Cricetulus griseus: one gene and its partners. The protein of the gene in region 6 interacts with the protein of the main gene of each other region in a pairwise test. Links are inferred from orthologs where the notes say so. Each region holds a gene or a part of one and is shown on either strand. Other genes may lie near its edges.

What was found.
Region 1: the proteins of Crk (region 6) and Usp53 interact in binary tests that used the Homo sapiens proteins (3 or more experiments, as listed by UniProt). The two-hybrid records come from large-scale screens. The link is inferred for Cricetulus griseus from reciprocal best matches to the Homo sapiens genes CRK and USP53.
Region 2: the proteins of Crk (region 6) and Psmc6 interact in binary tests that used the Homo sapiens proteins (3 or more experiments, as listed by UniProt). The two-hybrid records come from large-scale screens. The link is inferred for Cricetulus griseus from reciprocal best matches to the Homo sapiens genes CRK and PSMC6.
Region 3: the proteins of Crk (region 6) and Ppfibp2 interact in binary tests that used the Homo sapiens proteins (3 or more experiments, as listed by UniProt). The link is inferred for Cricetulus griseus from reciprocal best matches to the Homo sapiens genes CRK and PPFIBP2.
Region 4: the proteins of Crk (region 6) and Dppa4 interact in binary tests that used the Homo sapiens proteins (3 or more experiments, as listed by UniProt). The two-hybrid records come from large-scale screens. The link is inferred for Cricetulus griseus from reciprocal best matches to the Homo sapiens genes CRK and DPPA4.
Region 5: the proteins of Crk (region 6) and Ptpn4 interact in binary tests that used the Homo sapiens proteins (3 or more experiments, as listed by UniProt). The link is inferred for Cricetulus griseus from reciprocal best matches to the Homo sapiens genes CRK and PTPN4.

The regions. Positions count from the first base shown.
Region 1 is NW_023276806.1:35,529,253-35,532,752, reverse strand, and holds part of Usp53 (inactive ubiquitin carboxyl-terminal hydrolase 53), read right to left. Parts: intron 1,276-3,500; coding exon 1,162-1,275; intron 1,082-1,161; coding exon 999-1,081; intron 1-998. UniProt on the Homo sapiens protein: Deubiquitinase that mediates 'Lys-63'-linked deubiquitination of tight junction proteins, such as MARVELD2 and LSR, and which is involved in the survival of auditory hair cells and hearing.
Region 2 is NW_023276807.1:201,334,725-201,338,224, reverse strand, and holds part of Psmc6 (26S proteasome regulatory subunit 10B), read right to left. Parts: intron 1,446-3,500; coding exon 1,378-1,445; intron 1,144-1,377; coding exon 1,029-1,143; intron 1-1,028. UniProt on the Homo sapiens protein: Component of the 26S proteasome, a multiprotein complex involved in the ATP-dependent degradation of ubiquitinated proteins.
Region 3 is NC_048596.1:92,570,286-92,574,254, reverse strand, and holds the start of Ppfibp2 (liprin-beta-2), read left to right. Parts: upstream 1-1,169; 5' UTR 1,170-1,258; coding exon 1,259-1,306; intron 1,307-3,969. UniProt on the Homo sapiens protein: May regulate the disassembly of focal adhesions. Did not bind receptor-like tyrosine phosphatases type 2A.
Region 4 is NC_048597.1:42,777,674-42,781,913, forward strand, and holds the start of Dppa4 (developmental pluripotency-associated protein 4), read right to left. Parts: upstream 2,801-4,240; coding exon 2,777-2,800; intron 339-2,776; coding exon 221-338; intron 1-220. UniProt on the Homo sapiens protein: May be involved in the maintenance of active epigenetic status of target genes. May inhibit differentiation of embryonic cells into a primitive ectoderm lineage.
Region 5 is NC_048598.1:68,819,343-68,822,842, reverse strand, and holds part of Ptpn4 (tyrosine-protein phosphatase non-receptor type 4), read right to left. Parts: intron 2,329-3,500; coding exon 2,180-2,328; intron 1-2,179. UniProt on the Homo sapiens protein: Phosphatase that plays a role in immunity, learning, synaptic plasticity or cell homeostasis. Regulates neuronal cell homeostasis by protecting neurons against apoptosis.
Region 6 is NC_048600.1:89,144,120-89,148,307, reverse strand, and holds the start of Crk (adapter molecule crk), read right to left. Parts: upstream 2,801-4,188; 5' UTR 2,655-2,800; coding exon 2,414-2,654; intron 1-2,413. UniProt on the Homo sapiens protein: Involved in cell branching and adhesion mediated by BCAR1-CRK-RAPGEF1 signaling and activation of RAP1.

The DNA of each region.
Region 1 (3,500 bases), on a different chromosome or scaffold from region 6:
CAACCAAAAGTACTCCCCTAGCATACTGCACAGGTATGCTAGAACACACTCAAACTCTGATAAGCATTCACACTGCACAAGGCCATTTCACAGAACTGACAGTACCAGAGTAACTGCTCGTTCTGCAATCAGATGGATGTGAGTTTCAATCTCCATCCTCCGTAAAGGACTTCTGAGTAACTTTGATTGACTGGTGGTACATAAAGTCTAGGACAGATTTTGCATCTTATCTAGCTGTTTCATGGAGAGGGAAGGAGCTGGCAGACAGGCAGGCAGTAAGCATGGCAGAATCTTAAGGTGACTGTTGAGGTTTCAAATCCAAGAACCTACATAAGGATTATGTTCACATTTCCTTTCTTTTTCCTTTAGCCTAGCTTTTACCATCATAAGGAGACAATGAATGTGGTGGGAAACAAGGCTAACACAAAGGGACCATCTTAGTAAAGATGAAGATATCATGTGCAGTCCATTTACCAATGAGTGTCTCATTTCAAGCTATGAATACAAAAGATATAAATGCTGTACATTTTACTTAACAATGCATTTAGTCTGAAATGCTCCAAAATCTGAAATTTTTTGAGTGCTGAAATCATGTTACGAATGGTAAATTCTAAACCTAAGTTTACATAATGGGTCACATTTAAGATGCAGGTTCTCTATGAATACTTCATAAATTACCATCAGATTATTGATATAAGATATGTATTAAACAAACGAATCCCATCTTTAGCATTGGGTTGTACCCGAAACATACTATATTACAAATATGCAAATAGTCCAAACCAAAATTTGAAACTTTAGTCAAGCACTTCAGGTAACTGATATTATGCTAAGTCCTAAGCCTCCAGCTGAGAAAGCTAGCTCTTAGGCTCCCGTGTGAAAGCCCATTTGATAGCATCACACAGAGAAATCCATACTATGTTAAAAACTTTACAGAATAAATGTCACTGTGCTTACACATGCTCTTATACTTTGTTAAATACGCTGAGAGGGCTTACCACAGGGCTGTCGTAGAAATGTACCTCACGAACTCTGTAAAGGGTAGAGGGTCTGAAGATGCTCCACAGCTGCGGCACACACACTACAGGCAAAAACATAGGCTTACTCTATCAATCCCGAGACAGAAGTCTAGCATTTAATTAGATAATGAAGACATCTTACCTGTTCATACAGAGTCATAGCAAACTTCTGGTGAGTGACACATGATTTGGATGTGCACATGTCTGCATCCCTGCTCGGCACCAAGTGAAAATGAATCCTCGCCAATATATTTTCCTAATTAAAAATACAAATGAAGTAAGTTTCTGACCTTGCAGAGAACACTTTAATATATAACTATTTTTAACCGAACATTTTCCATGTGTAAACGCAATGAATACCATAATCTATATAATCACTTCAGATGTTCAAGTATTCACTTTCTACAGTACTAGCTTTAAAAGTTAAGGGAAAAAATACATTTAAAGCCTTATTTTAAATACCAATCACAGTGGCTGATATCTAGAATTCAGTATCAGAAACATTTCCTACATTCCAATCATTCTCCTATTAAGTAAAGTCAGGTTAACTTTTTAAAAAGTGTGTGTGTGTGTGTGTGTGTGTGTATGTATGTGTGAGCGAGCACATGTGAGCGTGCACACACAGTGTATGTTCATGTGGAGGTCAGGAGACAACTTCAAGTGTCAGTCATCCTCAGGAACATCCACAACATACCTTGAAACAATGTCTCCCACTGGCCTGGAGCTTACCCATGAAGCTAAGGGGATAGCCAATGAGCACTAGAGATTCTCCTGCCTCTGCCTCCTCACTTAGCTCTGGGATTACAAGTGTGTATGAACATGGCTAGCAATTTTACATAGAACTGAGAATCAAACTCAGGTCCTTAACCTTATTAGGTAAACCAGATTGACCATGTTCCCAATCCTGATTTCCTTTTTATATTCCTACTTTACTTATACCATAATTCAAGCAATGTCATTTGCAACAAATCCATGAAATTTCAAATGGATACCATGGATCAGTAGTAAATGACAATCTTTTTGTTACTGTTGTTTAAGAATGCGTCTTTTTACTTGCTGCATCCCTTGCTACTCACCTCCTCTTTGAACAGGAGGGAGCCACAACTTGCACTATTCTTACCTACCCACTCTGAGGGACCCTGAACCATGCCTATATAAGACAGATTATATTCCCCATATAACTCAGTTCCACTCACTTGGGCCAGCTTTATCCATCTCTACTGCAAACACCTGGTCCCTTCTCGAGGCAGACACCAGGCTCCTGCTCCAACTCCACTCATCCCTACTACACAAGGACCATCCTCTCTCCAAATCAGCAATGCCACCCATACCTGAAGCTTGCCTGAGGACCACGTAGCCAGCACCTGCCTTCCAGCCCTCCACTCTTGGCCTTCCTCTTCACATAGGGATCCCAGACAACTATCACCAAGTCTACCAGCACCCACTACTTGAAGAAAAGCCCTGAGCACCTTTCCTAGACTCCTGAAGATTGTGAGCATCCTGTAACTGCACAGAAGGTTTGCTGCTAGGTAGAAAATACACTTGAACTCATTAGCACAGCAAAAGACTTTGTAAACAGAACATCAATAGCACAGGCATTAAGACAACAATTTGCAAATGGGACCTCAGGGAACTAAAATGTTTCTGTACAGCAAAGGGCACTATTACTTGAATAAAGAGGCAGCCTACAGACTGGGGAAAATCTTTACTAGTTATATATCTAACAGAGTTAGTATCTAGAATATATAAAGAATTCAAAAATTAAACAAGAAAGCAAACAACCCAACTTAAAAACAGGGCACTGCAGGGGGCCAGGGAAGTATACAGCATATGGCAATTGATAATTCAGGTGTCAAGCCAGCAGACAAATAATTCTGATGGAGATAATCATGTCAAGCAAGGCTTACAGGACCACCGACTCTGAAAACTGGTTGCCTGTATCTGTAATTTCTCTCATGTGCCACTGCATTTCTTCCCTAAGAACTGCTGTGGGTGTTTTCCCACTGCTTATGTGTTTATCTCACGTAAATATTCCATCTATTGGGCACACATATAACTGTGGCTGGTCAAGAAGATGATTTCTGTTTAATCTGCATAATTTTGATGAATAGAATAATGAATATCTTTCATTATTGAGACTGACATAGGAAAGCAATAAGTTTTCTTAGCCACAAAGACAACAAATTCCAAGCAGGCTGGTTGCCCCTAGAGACAAATACATGAGGTCATTTTCCCAGCTGTTTTGCTGATTCAAGGTCAGAGCCAAAAGTGACGTTAGTAGACAAACTCCCTGGAGCAATGGACTTCCTCCGTGTACTCCCTACCACTCACAGTATAGCTGACTGTTAAGGCTTGAATTGCAATGTCATTTTCTTTCTGAGAACTGTACCTATTTAGGCAACATGCATGGCCAAGCATTATTCACTGGCCAGTCAATGTGACATCCCTAGCCTAAGAGAAACTATGTGACTTATCATGTGA
Region 2 (3,500 bases), on a different chromosome or scaffold from region 6:
AACAGCCCAAGGAGCCTATACTTTTCAGAAAGTTTAATGAGCTTAGGCCTAAAAATTATGAACCACTATGAACTACTCCCAACCCTTCTCAGTCATTCATCATACTTAGGCTATCAACAGGGAAAATAAATCAATACCACAATGTAACTTTCTGGGTTACAAGACCAGGCAATCCTAACCTGATTCCATCCCTTAAAAGCTTAAAAATTAGCCAGGCATTGGTGGCGCAGGCCTTTAATCCCAGCACTCGGGAGACAGAGGCAGGCGAATCGCTGTGAGTTCGAGGCCAGCCTGGTCTCCAGAGCGAGTGAGTGCCAGGATAGGCTCCAAAGGTACACAGAGAAACCTTGTCTCGAAAAAAAAAAAAAAAAAAAAAAAAAAAAAAAAAAGGCTTAAAAATTGAGCAGGATGGTGGTGGTTCTAGACTTGAGAAGCAAAGGCAGCCGGATCTCTGTGAATTTGAGGTTAGCCTAGTCTACAAAGACAGCCAGGGCTACATAGAAAAACCCAAAAAGTTAAATTAAAAAAAAAAAGTCTAAAAACTTTAAGTGACTTCTATAGCCAGTACTTTCCTAAAGTGCAACAAATAGTTTGAAAATAGTTTGAATAAATAAAAACATACACGCCAAAGGTAACAATAATTCCTATTATACTGAGATGTCAATATTACTGTCTTTATGAAAAAAAACCACATAGTGGGTTGCCCTATGTGCTCTGACCTAGGTACACTAAAGACAGTAAAAACTATAAATGGCAAGGGCATTAGATTATATCAATCATTATTCACTTTCCCTTTTCTTCACCTCCTTTTTCTTTTTTGCCACAAGAGGAATTTTCCTAACACTAAACATCTCCAAAATAACAAGTACTAACTAGGTCGATAGTTAAAATTCACTGCTACTCTCAGTCAGAATTTCAAATATATTAATATACACAAACTAAAAAGAAAGATTTTTGCATTGTGTTTCTCTCTTCAGGTATCCAAAAAGCAGTAGTGCAGTAGTCTCAGATAGAGAAATAGAACTCACCTCTCGTAACTCCCGAATCTGCTCTGACAACCCTCCAATCTCAGAATAAGAAACATTTCCAGGGTCCTCATGAGACATGTTGTAAACCAAAGGATCCACCTCTCTTGGCAAATACCTAAAATGAAAAAATCAGGTGTTCTTCTTTCAAAAGACTTATTTCCTCTCAGTTTACATAGTAAGTATAAACAATTTACTTATGCAAGCACCTGTAAGTACTTTCTAAAAATATTTAATTTAGTAAATAAGTAAATGGTAAGAAGTAGTAAAATCTTTGATGACTGCACAAATCCTGTATTTTTAGAAAACTTTCCATCTGAAAATGAAACAAACTAAACAATAAGAAACCCACCTCATTATAGTTAGTGTAGTCATATCCAAAGCAACTCTTGTTCCTGGCTTCAGCTTACTTTTATCAAGCTGGTTTTATAAAACAAAAAGTGTTACACAAACATTTTAAAAGGGAAACACTATACAAGTCATATATATTTTTATACATCATAGAAAACACAAAGATTACATTATAAATGCCCTGTTAATAGAACAGCCAATAAGCTGCACCTTTAATCCCAGCACTCAGGAGGCAAAGGTAGGCCGATCTCTGTGAGTTCGAGGCCAGCCTGGGTCTACAGAGCAAGTTCCAGGACAGCCTCCAAAGCAATGCAGAAAAACCCTGTCTTGAAAAACTAAAAACAAAACAAAACAAAACAAAACAAACAAACAAACAAAAAAACAAGGAAAAAAAAAAGGACAGCCAATAAAGAAGTAACTTCTTTAAAGTTATTTCTATGTGACCCTTATAAGAGTGTTCTTTGTGCAACCTCAGTATGAAATCAGAGATCACTAATATATAAAACTTGAGGTAACAATTGCCCTTTTAGTTTTTTAAACTTTTAACATTTATGTGTGTGTGTGTAACAATAGTGTGCATATATAGTCAGAGGACAATGTGCAGGAATTGGTTCTCTTCTTCTACCATTATCATGGGTTCTTGAGATTGAATTCATGTGGTCAGGCTTGGTAGCAAGTATCTTTATCCATTAAAGTGGCCATGTTTTTGAAGAAGGGATAGACTTTGGAATTTTATTCTCAAGACTCATTATTTAATATAATTTTATTCATTATTTTGATTCAAAAATCTATAGAAAAAAGTTACTTTGGGAACTGGCACCAAAATATTTATGTTGGGGGGGGGTGCAGTTTGTAAGTGTATCCATTAAATATATTTTGAAAATCTTTTAGAAGAAAATATTTATATGCATAATCATAAAAGATAAGGAAACCATTGTTTCCTCTTAAGAGACTTTCATCAAAATAAAAAGGAAGGCAAGCCTATGGTGATGGTGCATGCATTTAATCCCAGTACTGGGGAGGCAGGGCAAGAAGAACTGTTGGAGTTCAAGACCAGTCTGGTCCACAGAATGAGTTTCAGAACAGACATGACTACACAGAGAAACCCTGTGTTGAAAAACCAAAACCAGTCTCAACCAAAACAAAACAAAACCAGAATGCAAAAGACAAAACAAAAAGCTCAAACTACCTTGACTTTTATACAACAGACCTTATATTGAATACCTTAGGTTGAATATTTTTATTATTTTTATTAGCACACCTTTACATAGTAACTTATAGGCTATTGTAGTCAACTTTGATGCATTTGTCAAAAATAAAAAGTTACTTTCCAATGGTTTCAAAATTTGTTTGCCATTACATTTTCAGAATCATAACTTGTATAAGATTCTACAATGAGTTACAAATTTAGGAGAATGTGCTCACTAAAACTGAAATTATAGAGAGATAGATGGCCCAGCAGTTAAGAGCACTGGCTGTTCTTCCAGAGGACCCAAGTTCAATTCCTAACATCTACATGATAGCTCACAACTGTCTGTATCTCCAATGCACAAAAAATAAATTTAAATAAATTATTTTTTAAAAATACCTAAAACAAAAATGAAATGATCCATGCAAGATAGTTACTGATAATGGCACTGACTAAATCAATTAAAGTGCCGAGTCCTTTATTAATGGCTAGACCAAGAATGGGCTCTCATCTCTGCAAAGTTTCTTGGTGCCCAAGCACAGGGGCACAGAATTTTTGCAAGACAAAACATTAATTACATCAGGACTGGAGGAATGGGGAAGATTAGTAAGGGATTTGGAGTTGCCTAGTAACATCTGCTTCTTTTACAGGCCCCATCAGTATCTTCCAGACACTATATAATACCTTTGGAACATGATCAAGGTTGTGGACAGTCCCAGAAGCATTATCAAGGTGAATGTGGTTGTTTGGGTGGAAGGCTGAGAAGTGACCAGGTAGGCACAAAATAACACCAGGAGAGAATGGTGTTACCTTAGTCATCTCAAAATGAAGTAAGGATGTGGCTCAGCTTGTAAGAGCTGTTTTCAAGAGGAAGGACCCAAGCTCACATCTCCCTCACTTCTGAAAAAGCCAAGCCCATTATGAGGGTTGAACCT
Region 3 (3,969 bases), on a different chromosome or scaffold from region 6:
GGCAAGGGAGAAAAGCTGTTTTAGGGGGAGCTCTCAAAGGAGATGTCAAAATATGAGGAGAAGAGGGGTGGTGGCATCTGGGGAGTGTTAGTGGGGTACCCTGGAAAGGCAGCATGTGACCTACCATTAGGAAAGCATAGAGTTTCCCCTCTCCTCCAAGCTTACCAGGGCTCCTTCTTACCTGGAGCCACTCCCCATGTCTCCCTGCTTTGTAAAGTAGTCCTCCAGAGGCAAGGAAGCAGTCCTGAGCCTGGACAGAAGCAGTAATCCCCTGGTATGGTATGTGGCCTCCAGGGAACCCAAATGGTGGTGGCTCACAGCCCAGAGCAGCACTCCCTGAGGGAGCCAGTAGTAAAGGTCTCAAGGTTGTAGCAGTTGATCTCTGGTGGATAGTGCTAGCCGTGCCAAGGACAACAGACAGCCTACCTAGGCCTGGCATACCTCTGAGCCCAGAACTGGGACAGGAGCTGGTTCTAAATCTGTCCTTTTTGGAAGCCTGTGGCCCATCTGTGAGAGGGGTAGGTGTGGGCTTCAGGGTGTGTGTGTGTGTGTGTGTGTGTGTGTGTGTGTGTGTGTGTGTGTGTGATTGCGTGTGTCTGTGTCTGTGTGTGGGAACCAGAAAACTCCTCTGGGAGTAGTGCTTATTTTTAGTTGTCTCCCTAGTCCCAAATAAACTGAGAGCAGCTGGGAGCCTGTGGGTAAATGCAGAGGGAAGCAGAGACAGGAAATCGGGGGCTCTCGGTAATGAGTTCCAGCCACACCAGAAAGGAGAAGCCAGACAAGGCATTTTCTTCCGGACTGTTTCCCTCTGGCAGGCTCTGGTATTATCACTGAGAAGGTTCCCATTGCCCACGTGTGAGTGAGTGTATGCGTTCAAGTGTACGTGTGTTTACAACTCCAGCCTCCCCTTTTGATGAGGTTTGATTGCTCTGAAGGACTCTGAAGTCAGTCTTGGTCTCTCTCTCTGTGTGTCCATGTGTCTGTGTGCCTGCCTGCCCGCCTGCCTGCCTGCCTCTTGTGGGGGCGGTGGGGGAGGACCCTGGAGCAGCACCGTCAAGTCTGAGTCTTGTGTATCTGAGCCTGTTAGGGAAAGAAAGGCTATAGGACACAGGCCAGGGAAGTAGGGAAACTGGAACACAGCTTGCTGTTCCTGCGGGGGAGGGGGCAGAGGCAGGGAGGAGGAGAGGGCTTGAGCTCCAGCCAGAATAAAGGGCTTTTTCTCAACTAAGGACTCTAACTGCTGACATGGGTCCCCAGCATGGATGGGGACATTGATGTTTACAAGCATTTCTCGTGGCTGAAGAGGGTAAGTGACTGGCTGCTTTGTCTGGGTCTCTCTGGAGATGAGTAAGGAGAGAGACACTTTGGGGGTGTTTGGCTGTGTGTGTGTGTGTGTGTGTGTGTGTGTGTGTGTGTGTGTGTGTGTGTGTGTGTGTGATGGGGGGGAGGCAGTTGTCCAGAGAACCCTTTTGTGGCCAAGTTCTTCATGAGACTCTAATTATAGACACTAAGGGAGAAAACAGGCAGCTGCCTTTGTTTCTGCCCTGACAGCCTAGTGAATGAACCTCTGTACTGAAAGGCAAGAATAGAGTGAGGAAAGTTAAGTTATTTTAATGTTGGCTCTTCAGCATTCAGGATCTCTATACACTGTGGCCTAAAAATTATGCCTACTGTTTTTGGGTCTTAAGACACATAGAGGAAGCTGCTACTGTCTTAAATGCCTGAATTCGGAAGTCATTTAACTCATTCTCATCCTTGATGCTATCTGGAGTAGAGGGTATATCTGTTGCCAGCCCAGTGAGCTTCTGTGTTTCTGGAGGAAGGCTCCAGGGTAGTTCTCTTTGAAGTGTACTGAAGCCCAGGATTTCATTTGCAAGTTGTTTGTGCCATTTCTGTAGGCATTTGTGTAGAGTGCGAATCAGCAGTGAATGAACCTTGGGGGCCAGATGACATTGTGCTCAGAACTCTGGTGTTCTCTTGTAAGGTGGGCTCACATTCATTTTATAGTGGGGAATTCTAGGCTGAATATGTTTGAGAGGGAGGAAGGTCAAAAGCACCTGACAGATAAGAGGTTTGACATTGTAACTGCAGAAGGACGGGAAGTGTCCTGCTTGGAAGGGACACACAGAACTTCACTGTCCTGCTTCCAAGCACTGGGCTGGCTGGCTTTTTGTGTGCCCTCTGCAGCTGCAGTGCTTCCTTAGCAAACACTCAGCTCCTGGTACTGTGTGGACAGCAGTGAGCAAAGCTGAACCAACCTTAGAGGGGAAAGGAGGCCAAACAGTCCCAGGAAATAGACATCAGACTACAAGCACACAGTAAGAAAGGCTCAGGAGGGCTGTTGATGATTGCAGAAGAGGGTCAGGAGCCCTCTTTGAGGACATAGCACTTTACAGAAACATGAAGCGAGTTGTGTGGAATATAGGGTGAGAAATACTCCAGGCCAAAGCAAAGGTGGGTGGTGCATGTGCAAAGGTCTTGAGGCAGGAGAGGCTGGCTGGTTTCAAGACAGAGAAAGCCATTGTTGCTGGACTCAGTAATGGTGGATAGAGACAAGTGGATGCCAGATCACACAGAACAGTGAAGGCCATGTAGGAGCAGTAGGTAACAGTGGTCTGTAATGATCAGGTTTGTAGTGAGGAAGCAACATGGGATGTAGCATGGGAACCAATTTATATTTAAGAAGATCCCTCTAACTGTGATGTGGTATGCGGTAAGCAGTGTTGGGAAAGTGAGGCATCTGAGACATGATTAGAGAGTTGGATGGGCGATAGGAGGAGCCAGCTAGTACCAGATTTCATTTAGCAAAACCCAAGAGAGGCCGAGGCCATTGCGAATGCTGGTTAGTTAGTGGTCCAGCAGCTTGGTCTTGAACCATTTTCTCTGTCTCTTGGTCCTGTTCCTTTCTCAGTTCTGCCAAATATGCAGAAAATGATTGGTTCAGAATGTAACAGAAATTCTGTCTGTATTCAACCCTTGCTTTGCAGGGAGTAGGGCATCTCAGCCACCAGAGAGCATGCTGAACAACAGGACCTTTTGGCAAAGATCTGTGCCATACTAAGCTATGTTAGGGAGATCCTGGAGTGTGCAGGGAAAGAGCATACTTAGTCTTTGTGTCCTGATTTCCAAAATGAAGCTTTTAACTGAGAGGGTCTGCAAGTCACCATGTGCCTGGGATAGGAACCGTACCTGTACCCCACACAGGTGCTGTGACTGGTCCTTTGACAGAGGTTCTTTCCTTAGGAAGCAATTCTGGCCAAGTGAGAATGTTCTGTCTCTCCCAAGATGCAGGATGGACTCTTCAAGCCAGACAACAACTTCAGAACCTCCACAGAACCCATAGCAAATATATTTTCTCCACTTTTAGGATTTTAAGAGTCATTAACAACAATAAATCAAACATCAAGTATTGGATGTATCCTAGCTAAAATATATTCTTTGGTGGTAGGATCTCTTCTTTACCCCAGATCCTCCTGCTCCTTCTGTATGTGAGCCTCTCGGACTCATCTTCAGCTTCTTCAGACTTTGGTTCCAACCTGTACCTTTTGCATTTCATTCTTTAGTAACCCCCAAGTATATATTTCCTGTTATTTTTATTTTTTAAGCTTTATCTCAGTTGTCCCTTTCTCTAATTCCCACCTTTATCTGATTCCATTAGGTCCATTGTTTGCAACCATTCCTTTGCTAACCTAGTCCCTTAAGGGCCCTCCAGTCCAGGTGTCCATCACTTCCCACCTATCTTCGTATGTGCTTACACAGAATACAGCTTTCGCTAAACATGCTTTTGGAGGTAGAGGCACTGTCTCTTTCATTCTTCTGCTTAGAAGAGGTAGGTTCTAGAAAAAGAGATTCCTGTATGAATTGTGAGCCTAGTGCACATGGTAGGAGCCTTGCCCTATGAGAAGAGGGTAATGTCTTGTAAGTGTCAACTATTACCAATCCCTCATTTACCACGCCCAAGAGAAGTCA
Region 4 (4,240 bases), on a different chromosome or scaffold from region 6:
CTGGGAATTGAAATCAGGACGTCTGGAAGAGCAGCCAGCGCTTTAACCTCTCTGAGCCATCTCTCCAGCCCCACCCCTTTTCTTTCTTTTTAAAAGAGAGCTGGGAACTCTTAGACCTCAGGAGTACATACAGGCCTTTTCCACCCTTTTTCTATGCTTAAGGAAGATTTCTTAAGTTTTAGATAAAAAGACGTAGGACTAAGCATTCACAGACTCTCACCATTCTCTTTCACTGTCTTTTTCTGTCTCTTCCCCGTTGCTGGAACTTTTACAAAGGATGTACTTGGTTGACTAAACATCTGGCATTCCTCTTCGCAAGCCACTCCTGTGCTGCTGCACTGTGGATGGAGGAGTTACACAGTTATCTGGTGTCTTGAACCAGCATATCTCCTTCCTTGCTCTAAACTAACATCTATGGTCCTCATGAGGTCACTGCATATGGCTGCCAGTGTGAATTCTAAGGGGCCATCATTTGAATAAGCAGTCTGACTTAATGAAATAAGGAAACAATGGTTGGGGGAAAATGAGAGGGTGCCAGCAGGAAAAACAGGCTTGTTGGCAACACAATTTTAACCCTAGCACTAGGAGATTTGTCTTCTTCTTCAAGGACAGGGTTTCTCTGTGTGTAACAACAGCCTTGGCTGTCCTGGAACTCACCACAGAGTTCCACCCACCTCTGTCTCCCAGTGCTGGGATTAAAAGCGTGTGAACAATTTGTGAGTCCCCTGTGAGACTCTTTGAAGGAAAGAGAAAAAAAAAATACGTTGTTATAGTTGCAATCTTAGCCTTGGGCAGCAAGTGGAGGGTCACCAAGGGAGTTAGAAGCCATAATGAGCCTCAGGCCAAGTTGAGGCTAAAGAACAAAATCAAAAGTACAAGATGAGATATAAACAAAAGCAAAAGGGAGAAAGTGACAAAAGACAATAGAGTGCTAGTCTGCTTTTGGGGGAAAGCAGCCTGCATATTCCTCCATTTTATCTCTCACCCCAAAGATTGTTTTTCCCCAGACCTTGGTTCTAAGCCCAAAAAGTCTACTTCAATTCTTATACCTTACTCCTTTGGTCTCATTTCAAGTGTTATTTTGCTGGAATCTCTTTGCAGTCAATTAACCACATACTGCCTCATTTCTACGTGTCGACTGACTGCAACCATTCATGAGGTCCCTTCTGTGAGCAGAACTCCACAAGAGTGGGGTCTCTTGCCAGGCCACCTAAAACCCATGGCAGGAGAATGAGCACACCCCAACACTGCTCGGAACACCAGAACCCACAGGCTGGATGACCCAGAGACCTAGGACAGAAACAAATACGACTACGGGGGGAGGGGAGTTATCAATGTAATGGTGCCTAACGATATTCTGCTATACTCATAGACTGTCAGTAGAGAGGCTTCATCCAGCAACTGATGGAAACAGATGCAGAGTCATAGTCAAACATTAAGAGTTCTGGGAATCCTGCAGAAGATGGGGAGGAAAGATTGTAGAAGACAGAGGGGTCAAGATACTGCAAGAAAACTCACCGAATCAATTAATCTGGGCTCATAGGAGTTCACAGAGACTGAATGGAAAACCAGGGAGCCTGCATGGGACCTAGGTACCCTGCATAGGTTACACAGTTGGGTAGCTTGGTCCTCTTGGGGGATCCCTAACAACGGGGACAGGGGCTATCTCAAACTCCTTTACAGGCAAGGGACCCTACTCCACAGACTGGGTGGCCTTGCCCAGCCTTAATACATGGGGAGGTGTTTGGTATTACTGCAACTTGATATTCCACGTTTTGTTGATACTCATGGGAGACCTGCCCTTTCCTGAACCGAAAGGGCGGGGGCAGGCTTGGGGGGAAGGTTTAGGAAGAGAGGAGGGAGGACACCACCACTGGGTTGTAAAATAAACTTATTTTATAAATAAACTGGGTGGTGGTGGTGACCCGTGCCTTTAATTCCAGTATCCAGGATGCAGAGGCAGGCAGATCTCTGTGAATAGGAGGCTAGAGTGAGTTCCAAGGCAGTCAGGGCAGTTACATTGAGAAACCCTGTCTCAAAACAGCAGATAAGTAAATATATGAATAAAAGCAAACCCTGGTCAGTTTGCTCCCAAACGTAAGGCCTTTCCAAGCCAGACTTCCACCCCCAAGAGCAGCAGTGTGAGATAAATTAACATTTGGATGCTATTTTGCATCTCAATAGGAACTAGCTTCACATTCGCAATCCAGCTTTACATTTGCGTGTCCTTTTCACAAATAATTCAGTTTTAGACCTAACAAAATTTTTACACAATAAAGTTGGAAATGACGGGAACTTGGGAAGGAGACCTGGAGCACACTCACGAGTCTGGCTCCTGCAGTCAGGCACCAGCAAGGTTTGTCCCTCTGAGTCTGCCTTCCCCTTGGAAAGCCCTAGAAACCCTTCAGCTAGGATTCGTGGGCCAAGGCCTCTGGCTCTCCACCGGTATATAGCAGACAGCTATCCAAAAGCCTCTGGTTCATCTTACCTGCTTTACCTTGTGACCACTTTCCTCCAGCCACAGTACTCTAAATTCCTTCCAAGCAAAACATCCCTTTCCAAAACACAACCGCCCTTTCTACTACACCTACAGCAGTCAGGCCCTGGGGCGCCTCGTCTAAGGCCATAAGAGCGCCCCGCTGCTGAGCCCTACACCTGCACGGAACAAATTCTCGTTCTCTTCCTCTCCCCCAAACAAAGGCCGAGTGTGCACGAGACCCACCTATTTAGAAAGCTGAGCCACAAACAAAACAAAACAAAACAAAACAGCTCTCACCTCCTTGCTTTCAGCATGCTCCATCTTCAAATCAGATGAGACCGCTGAAAGAAGATTCTTCCAGCTTCCAAACGACCTCTGGCCTCAGTGAGCTTTTCGAAATCTCCTCCTACTTCCTGTTGCCTTGATGCTGTCTTCCGTCCACCACCCTCGTGATCCCACTCCCCAACAATTTTTGGTGCTGAAGTCTGGCGGTGGCAGGCTTTTTAGTGTTTAATGAAGACTGGCTTAGAACTTACTTTTGCAGCCCAGATGAGCTAAACTCCCAGGGTGGGTCTGCTCAGCCATAGAAAGGTGTGACTTAGAGTCATGAGCCGCCACACCCTGCTCCTGGGGAACTAAAAACTACAAGTATTGTTGGGTGGCACAAGCCTTTAATCCTGCCGTTCCGCTGCCTGAGACAGGAGCATCTTTCTGAGCTCCTAGAGGCCAGCTTGATCTTAAAAAAAGAAAAAAAAAAAAAAGAAAAGAAAAGAAAAGGGAAAGTGGAGTCCCAAAAGAATTCCGAACAAGCTGTGTGAACAGCCTGTCTAATTAGCGAATGAAATTAGAGTCCTGGATTTGAGGAAAACAACCCATTTCTCGTTCCTTGTGAATTCCTTTTCTGTAAACCACAGGGGGCTTGTTTTGTTTTTATGGTGATAGTGCTCTTGGAGAGCCTTGTTTATGCATACTAATCCGTCTACCACTGAGCCACAGCCACAGCCAATAAAATGACAACTTTTGTGAATTCCTTTCAGTCTCATGAAGTTCCGGCTGGCCTGGGGCTCAGAGAGATCTTCCAGTTTCTGCTTCTGAATGTTGGGATCAAGGGGCCTCACTACACCTGGCCAAGGTTTGCATTTCTGTTCTTCCTGTCTCAGCCTGCCCAGTGCTGGAATTCAGGCCTCTAAACCTGGTTTAAAACTGTACATTTCTATCTGCCTACTCTTAATAGTTTATAAAGTCCACTGGGAAGTGGTGGTACAAGCCTTTAATCCTAGCACTAAGGAGACAGGTGGATCTCTATGAGTTCAAAGCCAGCCTGATCTACAGAGAGAATTCCGGAACAGCTACGGCTACACAAAGAAACCCTGTCCCCAAAATAATAATAATAAACATAAATAAGATAAAAATTTAAAAAGCAAAGTTCAGCCTGGTGCTAGTGCATGCCCAGGACAGCCAAGGCTACACAGAGAAACAAACAAAAAGGAAAAGTTCATGTTGAATTTTGCTTTGTCTCAGTGTAATTGGAGAAAACATCAATGGGATTGGAGACATGGGAATTTATTTGTTTATCGTGTGTGAGGGCTGGTCATGCATGTGCCAAGGCAATCCACAGAAGGTCTGAGGACTGTTTCCACCATGTGGGTTCCAGGTGTTTCGAAAGGAAGAAAGTCTATGCCAGGCCTGACGGGCAAGACATTGGTTCTCCACGCTAAGATCAATGGAAGAGTTGTTTAACATCTCAAGGTGTTGTTTCTG
Region 5 (3,500 bases), on a different chromosome or scaffold from region 6:
TTAGGGCTCTAAATACCACTTGGGATTAGATGTTTATTTCTTCCCTAGACTTGGAAACTGCTATGATTTTATTGAATACATTTTCTAGACCATTAGCTTTTACATTGACTCATTCCATCCCACAGACTTCTAGGTTATTTCTCTTGAGCATATCCTACAGTTTTTGAAAGTTATGTTTGTGTCTTTTTGTTTGCTTGCTGTTAAACCATCATGTTTGTATAGCATTCTTCAAACTTTGTCCATATCCTGATGTTCTTTTATTGTTTTTGCTTAGTCTAGTGTGGTGATATTTTGTTGATGATCTAACAAAAATAAAGTTTGCATGAAGATCAGAGTGCAAAGCTAGCCAGCCATATTAGTTAGTCATAGAGACCAGGCAGTGGTGGAGAGAGCATTGCAGACTGCAGTCATACTGAGGACAGGATCTCCCCTAGCCTTGGTAGAATTAAGAACTCTCTAGTGGCTTGGATGCTCTTGCTTTCTAATCTCCCACTTTAATCCCAATAGCTGTCTCTGTTTAATCTGTGCTACGGTCTAGCCTATTGGTGATTTCTACATTCCATATTTAAATTTTGCTCTACTCAGTTTTTCATTTCCAACATTTCTGTTTTATTAATCTCAATTTCTTTATTTCCTCATTCATGTGCAAATTAACTTTCCCACCCACTTTCTTACTTTGTCCCCCTTTCTGCTACTTTTCTTCCCAAGTCCCAATGTGAAATCCTTAGTTCATTAATCTGTTTGTTTTGTATGTTCTTTGAAGTCATCGATTATTTTTACAAGAAAATGTTTGAATTCACCCAACATTTTATCTGTTTTAGTATCTTTGAGTTCAGTAATCAAGGAGTATTTCTGTGTCCTAATTTGTGCTTCTGTTGGTGTGGATTTTCATTTTAGTTTTCTTTGGAGATTTGCTGAGTGTGAAGCCTACTCTTGCAGGCTAAACCCCCAATACACTAAGGAAGATGAAAACAAATTGGTTTATCAACAATAGCACTACACTGAATGTGATATGCAGTTAAAATTGACCAAAACCCAGCTGGGAATTAGTGTTGCATGCCTTTAATCCAGCACTAAGGAGGCAGAGGCAGGCAGATCTGAGTTTAAGGTCAGCCTGGTCTACAGAGCAAGTTCCAGGACAGCTAGTGCTACACAGAGAAACCTTGTCTCAAAAAACCAAAAGTAAAACCAACCAAACAAAGAAAAAATTGATCAAAGCCCATAATACACCATCAATGACCAAAGAGGAGAAAATGGCAAAACTAATGGAAAGTATACTATGAAGTTAAAAATCATTCAGACAAATTTGGAAGTTGTAATGAATAAGATAAAGGAAGAAGCCAGGAAAGGAGAGAAAACAGATATAAAAAGCAATGTTAAATAAAAGGAAAAGGAATACAGACAAATTATAAAAGGGAGGAAAAAACCAGGAGATTAAAAATGAAAAGAAAAAAAGGTGTTGAATAATGAAAAACACAAACAGATAAACTTAAGCAAGGGAATTCAAAAATAAAAAAAAACATGAAAGTTTTATTTTTTAAGACAAGAATGGCAGTACACATGTGTAACTCCAGAATTGGGGAAATGGAAGACTGAGGATCAGGATTTCAGGGTTATCCAGTTACAAAAAAAGGTACAAGACCTGCACATATTATAGGAGACCTCATCTCAAAAATTTTAAAATATAAAAGAAGGATGACAATTTGGATCTGATGCTTTCCATACTGTCTAAGCTTCAGAGGCCCACAAGGCTAGCTTCACTTTATTAGCTCCCCTTGCTTGTGTACTAAGGACCTCTGCTGGCCACACTTAGTTTTGCAATCCAAAACTGAAAACTCTATTTCTGCTTTTATTAACTACATAGTTTTGAGTATCTTGTTATACCAACACAAACACATGAAGATAAAGGCAGTATTTCATCAAATCTAACTTACAATCAATTATAAGACACATTCCAATTTCAGGATATTAAAATAGGAAAAGAGCTAAGAAAGTGGCTATTTTTTTTCCTTTCCATAGTTTCTGACACAGTACTATTATAATATCCCCTTTGCCTTCAACCTCGGAACACAACTTTCGATCTAAATATCACAGTATTAATCATAATAAAAGGTCAAAATACACTATGTATTCCCCCAAGCACCCAATTATTCATTCATTAAGGGCAGGATATAAATACCTGCAATGAACAACAATCGGTTCTTCCTTTCCAGCCCTCTTGTTTCGGACATGACAAACAAAATCCAAAAAGTCACTTGAATCATCAGGTACTCCATGGTCAGGCCACGCTGTGTACTGAATCTGAGTGAGTTGACGACTTTCATTTTTCTAAATGAAAATGAAAAGTTACACATTTTGACATAGGAATTACCTTTAAAGTCTAAATGCTTGTTTTAATTTTAGAAGGAAAGTAAAAGTACCTTCCCTTTTCTTCTTGCCATAGTGTATAAATTCACTAAAATCTAGTATTTCGACACAAGGAAAATATTTCACAGAAATAGTTGTATCCTTTTAAGGACTAGTTATTTATATTAATATACTTTTTTGTTTGTTTGGTTTTGTTCTTTGAGATGGGGTTTCTCTGTGTAATAGTGCTGGCTATCTGGCTGTCCTGGAACTTGCTTTGTAGACCAGACTGGCCTGGAACTCACAGAGATCCACCTGCCTCTGCCTCCTGAGTGCTGGTGTGTGCGCCGCCACCACCCAGCATATTACTATACTTTTACAACTCAATTTCTATATTTATCAAGTATTTTGAGCATAGTAACCAAATCAACAGGCAGAAATAAATTAAGGTCAGAGAACTACTTAAAGGATTACCTAAAAGAGATTCCAGGTGAACAAAGATGGTAAAGTAACAACTTTTGTATATGAACAAAAAATGAGATAATCTTTACATGTCGACACAAATGAAATTGTGGAGATTAGACAGGAAAAGCCCCAGGAGAATGAAATGGTTCAGCAGCTAAGACGGCTTGTGACCAAGAATGACAATCTAAGCTCAAACTCTGGAACCCACATGGTAGAAAAGAGACCAGATTCCTACTAGTTGTCATCTGACCTCCACAGGTGCACCATGATAAAACCCCAAGCACTCACACATACATAAGTATAATAAAATTCTTAGATAAAAAACTCCCAAATATATATAGATTAAAATTAGAATAAAAACACAAAGTTGAATAAGGATTAATTCTACTTGGTGAGGGAGGGAGTAATGGTGGATATAATTGCAAGTTATGGCATTTAATATTTCAGAGCTACCCTCCTTCATGTGAAAAATGAAATGACACTTACTGCTCCACTGGGCCATCTTTAGGTTGAAAAGGCTTTATGAGAAGACTAAATAAAATCAAACTATTTATTCATACACTTTAAAACAGGTAACTATCATTCAACATCATTCAATCTGGAGATGCCAAGGGAGATCACAGAAGTAAAAGTTAATCAAGACATGGGAGTAGTACCTACCTATCCATTGTCTGTTAGTGTATGTGTAT
Region 6 (4,188 bases):
GTAAGACTCTGTCTCAAAACAAAAGAATGGAGTTTCCTAAGTGCACTTCAGGGATTTCAAAGCAAATAAACAAAGAATAACAAAACTATATAATAAGGGGCCGGGTCAGTTCTCAGGTGACACTGTCTAGCTCAAATTCTGGTTTAGTTATATACTAAATTTGTGACCTTACAAGTTACTGGATTTCTAGTTCTTTCGTCCAAAAACTGGAAATATTTTAATAAATGCACATTGCAATATTTCACTCACTATATTGTTACCGACAGTAACTTCTGTAAGGCACAGAAAGTCCTCAGCAAAGCATCTGGCATACAATAAGCAGTCAATAAGTGTCAGCTATTAATATTATATATGCCTCTCTAAAACTCAAGTAATCCCTATGTAGCTTTAAAACAAAAAGAGCTTAATGGGGGGGGGGCAAAGATTAAGTATCCATCATAAAGTAAAAAACAGCAAGTGAACTGACTGCCCTAAAGAGAAAATAGGGTACATGACAGAACAAATTGCCACAATGCCAATGAACTTTCCTACCCCACCCACAAACTGGCAATCTCCTCTCTTAGACCAACCATCTATTTTGAAAAGGTGGAGCTGCTGAGATATAAAACCACAATGCCCAGGTATGGAGAAATATCAAACTAACAAACCTGCCTGCTACTATTCCCAAGTTTTATAACAAAACACATAGAGAGAAAGCTGAGGACTGAAATTTTCTACCCTACTATTGGAAATAAAACCTGGGCTTCCCTAATGCTAGGCAAATAAACTACCACTGAATTATATTCCCAGTCCCACCCCCATCCTAACTTTTTATTTTGAGGCAGAGTCTTACTAAGTTCTCCAGGATAGCCTGGAACTTGTAAAATCATCTTGCTTCGGTCTCCCAGGTGCTGGGATTACAGGCATTAACTATGACATGTGGTTGGAAATTGAATTTCAATGACAACATACCATCCTAGTACTGCACTTAACATAAAATAGATACCTTGCAGATGGCACAAATACCTTTAGGGCAAATGTGCTACATTAATATTCTTATTTTATTTTACATATTAAACCAATGAGACCTAGAAAGATCTAAATGTGTAAACTAAAAGGACCTCAATACTAAATTCTTCCCTTAACTTGTGTGTGCTAACAAAAAGAACTATCTTTATCGCACCTCATTTCAGGCCAAAGTGAATAAATCTAAGTTAGGACTATCCTAAAAAGGGCAGGTCTGCTATGGTTAGCCAAGGAGTCTTCATTCATGAGACTGGCTCAGATCTAGGAGAAAAAGGCTTTCACTTCAAACATCCAGAAAGCAAGAAACTTGATGCATTACATACATACACAGACAAAGGCAATCACAGAATCACTCTGTATCTCAAAAACCTCAAGTGCTAAGTGGATGTATTTCCTTAACATTGCCAGACAACTCCAACAGTATGGGCAAGGCGGTTACAATTCATTGATCCTTGACAAGACCCCGTGGGATAACTAAAATGCTTGGTGTTATCTTTACAGACAGGTCTGTTCTTGTATCTTGGAAGACTTTGACTACAACACCAACTTACTGAGCAATAAAAGACCCAGAAGTACATGACTGACACTGTTTAAACCCAAGGAGAATGAAGCTCCATTCACTTCCAGGGTTGTTCTCACTGGCTTATACCTGGTTTATTTTCTGAAGGAAAAAAAAAAAAAAAACCTTTCCCCCACTAATCACTTTGAAACTAGAAACTCTAGTTGCAGCAGGCAGTCTTTTGGACACTTCAAACCTCTTGGACAGTTTGCCAGCTAGGCTTCAATTACTCTGGGCTGGTCACAGAAGGCTTTTTTCTATTACCAAGTCACTTAGTTCACCACCTTCGTATTCCACAAGGGAAGAACACGGTAAAAAGATTTTGGAAAAATGCCCAAGAAAGGAAAAAACCGACCGGCTTCCTGAGGGTGTCTCCATCCCTCCCAGCCAGCCAGTACGTGGTGACTTCCTACCGAAGGCCACCAGGGGAGTATGGCCAAAACCGGCTCTAACACTGCAGGAAACGTTTCAAGCCTAAAAGCCACTTGTAGGATTAGCAGATCCATTCTGGGCACCTCTGCCAAATTGTGTCCCCGCAACATCCCCACTAACTCTTTGTCCCCAAGTTGCCTGGCCCTGCCCTGCCCTTGGGCCTGACCCTGGCGCCCAGCCCCACCCCGGGGCCGCAGCAGTTCCCCTTCCCCGGCTCCCAAGGCACACCCAGAGGCCTCGGTGAGCAGCTCCTCCTCCCCCACAATCCCGCTCGTCGGTGGGAACCAGCCTGGGCTGAAGGCAGCTCCCCCGCCAGGGTCACTCCTGCCCTCTCTGCCCACGTCCCTCCTCCTGAAGCGGACCAGAGTTCCACGGCCCTCACCCCCGCCCGGGGCCTCCCGCCCGCCTGTCCCTCACCCGGCGGAGGCTGAGCGGGCGACGGAGGCACTGGAGGGCGCGGGCCGCTGCTGTTGATGATGTAGTGGGAGACACGCGAGTTTTCCGAAACGCTGAGCACATAGTCCCCGGGGCTGGTGCTCGAGTCCCGCACCAGGAACACCCCGTGCCGCTGGCCCTGCAATAGCGCCACCGCCTCCTGCCGGCTCAAGCGGCCCCAGTACCAGCTACTCCGCTCCTCCGAGTCGAAGTTGCCCGCCATGGCCGCCTCCGCGCCTTCACGCTGGGCCGCCGCCGCCACGCGCGCCCCTCCAGCCCTGGCGCCCGCCGCCCAGCGGACCGGCTCCGGTGTCAGCCTCCCAGCAGCGCCCGAAATGGCGGCGGCGGCCGCGGGCCTTCCCCACCGGAAATGACGCGCTCTCTACCCGAGGGAGGCTGCCGGGAAGGGGGACCGCCGCCCGCCATTGGGAGAAGGGAAACGGAGTCCTTGGGGCCCGCAGTGCGCACGCGGCTTCTTCATGGGCGTCGCCTCCAGGTCCAAACCCTGGCGACCGAGGATGGGGAGGCGGAGTCTAGGACTAAGGGGCGGAGCTTCAGTCTGCAAGCTGACTGATGTGTGTCTGACAGATTGGTGGCCTAGGTCTTTCGCCCAGGACCTACAGGAGTGGAGTAGTAAACGGTCCCAAGATGTTAGCCTCCCTCAAAGCTCCCTGACAAGCTGGTATTTTTCTGCTGTTTTCTTCAGTTTCCCCCGAGGTAAGCAGAAGTTCTTGTTACTCAGTAACAATCATAGACGTTACATTTCCCTGCAGGTGCAGTGGTGATCCAGACTGGGCCGTAAGTCACCAAATTCACAGACCAGTGGGAGGAACCAGGAAACAATTAATGACAAAGGAACAACAAATGCTATGATGGAAAACAGGAATATAAAGAGATCAACTAGGCAGTCTGTAGAGGGATCCAAGGGACTGGTAATGTGACTCATGACTGTAACACCAACACTTAGGAAACTGAGACAGGAGGATTACTGTGAGTCTGAGGCCCTACCTTACAAAACCTAAACAACAAACAAGGGTCCACAGATGAGGTGGCTTGAATGATTGGGTGTTGAATGGCAAGTGGGGAAGGATACTCAATGCAAAGAAAACAAAATGCTCAGACAGGAGAAAGGATTGAGGCTCCTATGTCAACCAGACAGTTTCCTCTATATTCTCAGTTGTAGTGATGGATGTCTCCTACTCTCACTTGCTTCATGATCATGATCATCTCTCTCAATTTTTTTTTACTTTGAAATGAAAAAAATTGTTTTTGTTTTTTTGAAACAGGGTTTCTCTGTGTATCCCTCTCTGTCCTCTAACTCACTCTGTAGACCAGGCTGGCCTCAAACACAGAGACCCACCTGCCTCTACCACCCGAGTGCTGGGATTAAAGGCGTGTGCCATCACCAATGCCCTGCTTGACATGAAATCTTATGATGTAGCCCAGGCCGACTCAAGATCCTTCCACGCCAGCCTCCCCAGTACAGGGATTATAAGAATGCACCAACATGCCTGGCTGGCCACTATTGCTAAGATTCCAGTGCACAGCCCGCCTGCTGCTGTTCCTTAGTTTGGCTTGCTGGATGACACTGTAATAGCCATCAGTACAAGTTTTCTAAATACAAATCTGTTGTTACCCTGCATAAAACTTTGAAAATCTTTAAAACTTCCAGTTTAGGGGCTGGAGAGATGGCTTACCAGTTAGGAGCACTGACTGTCCTTCTAGAGAACTCGAGTTCAATTACCAGCACGCACATA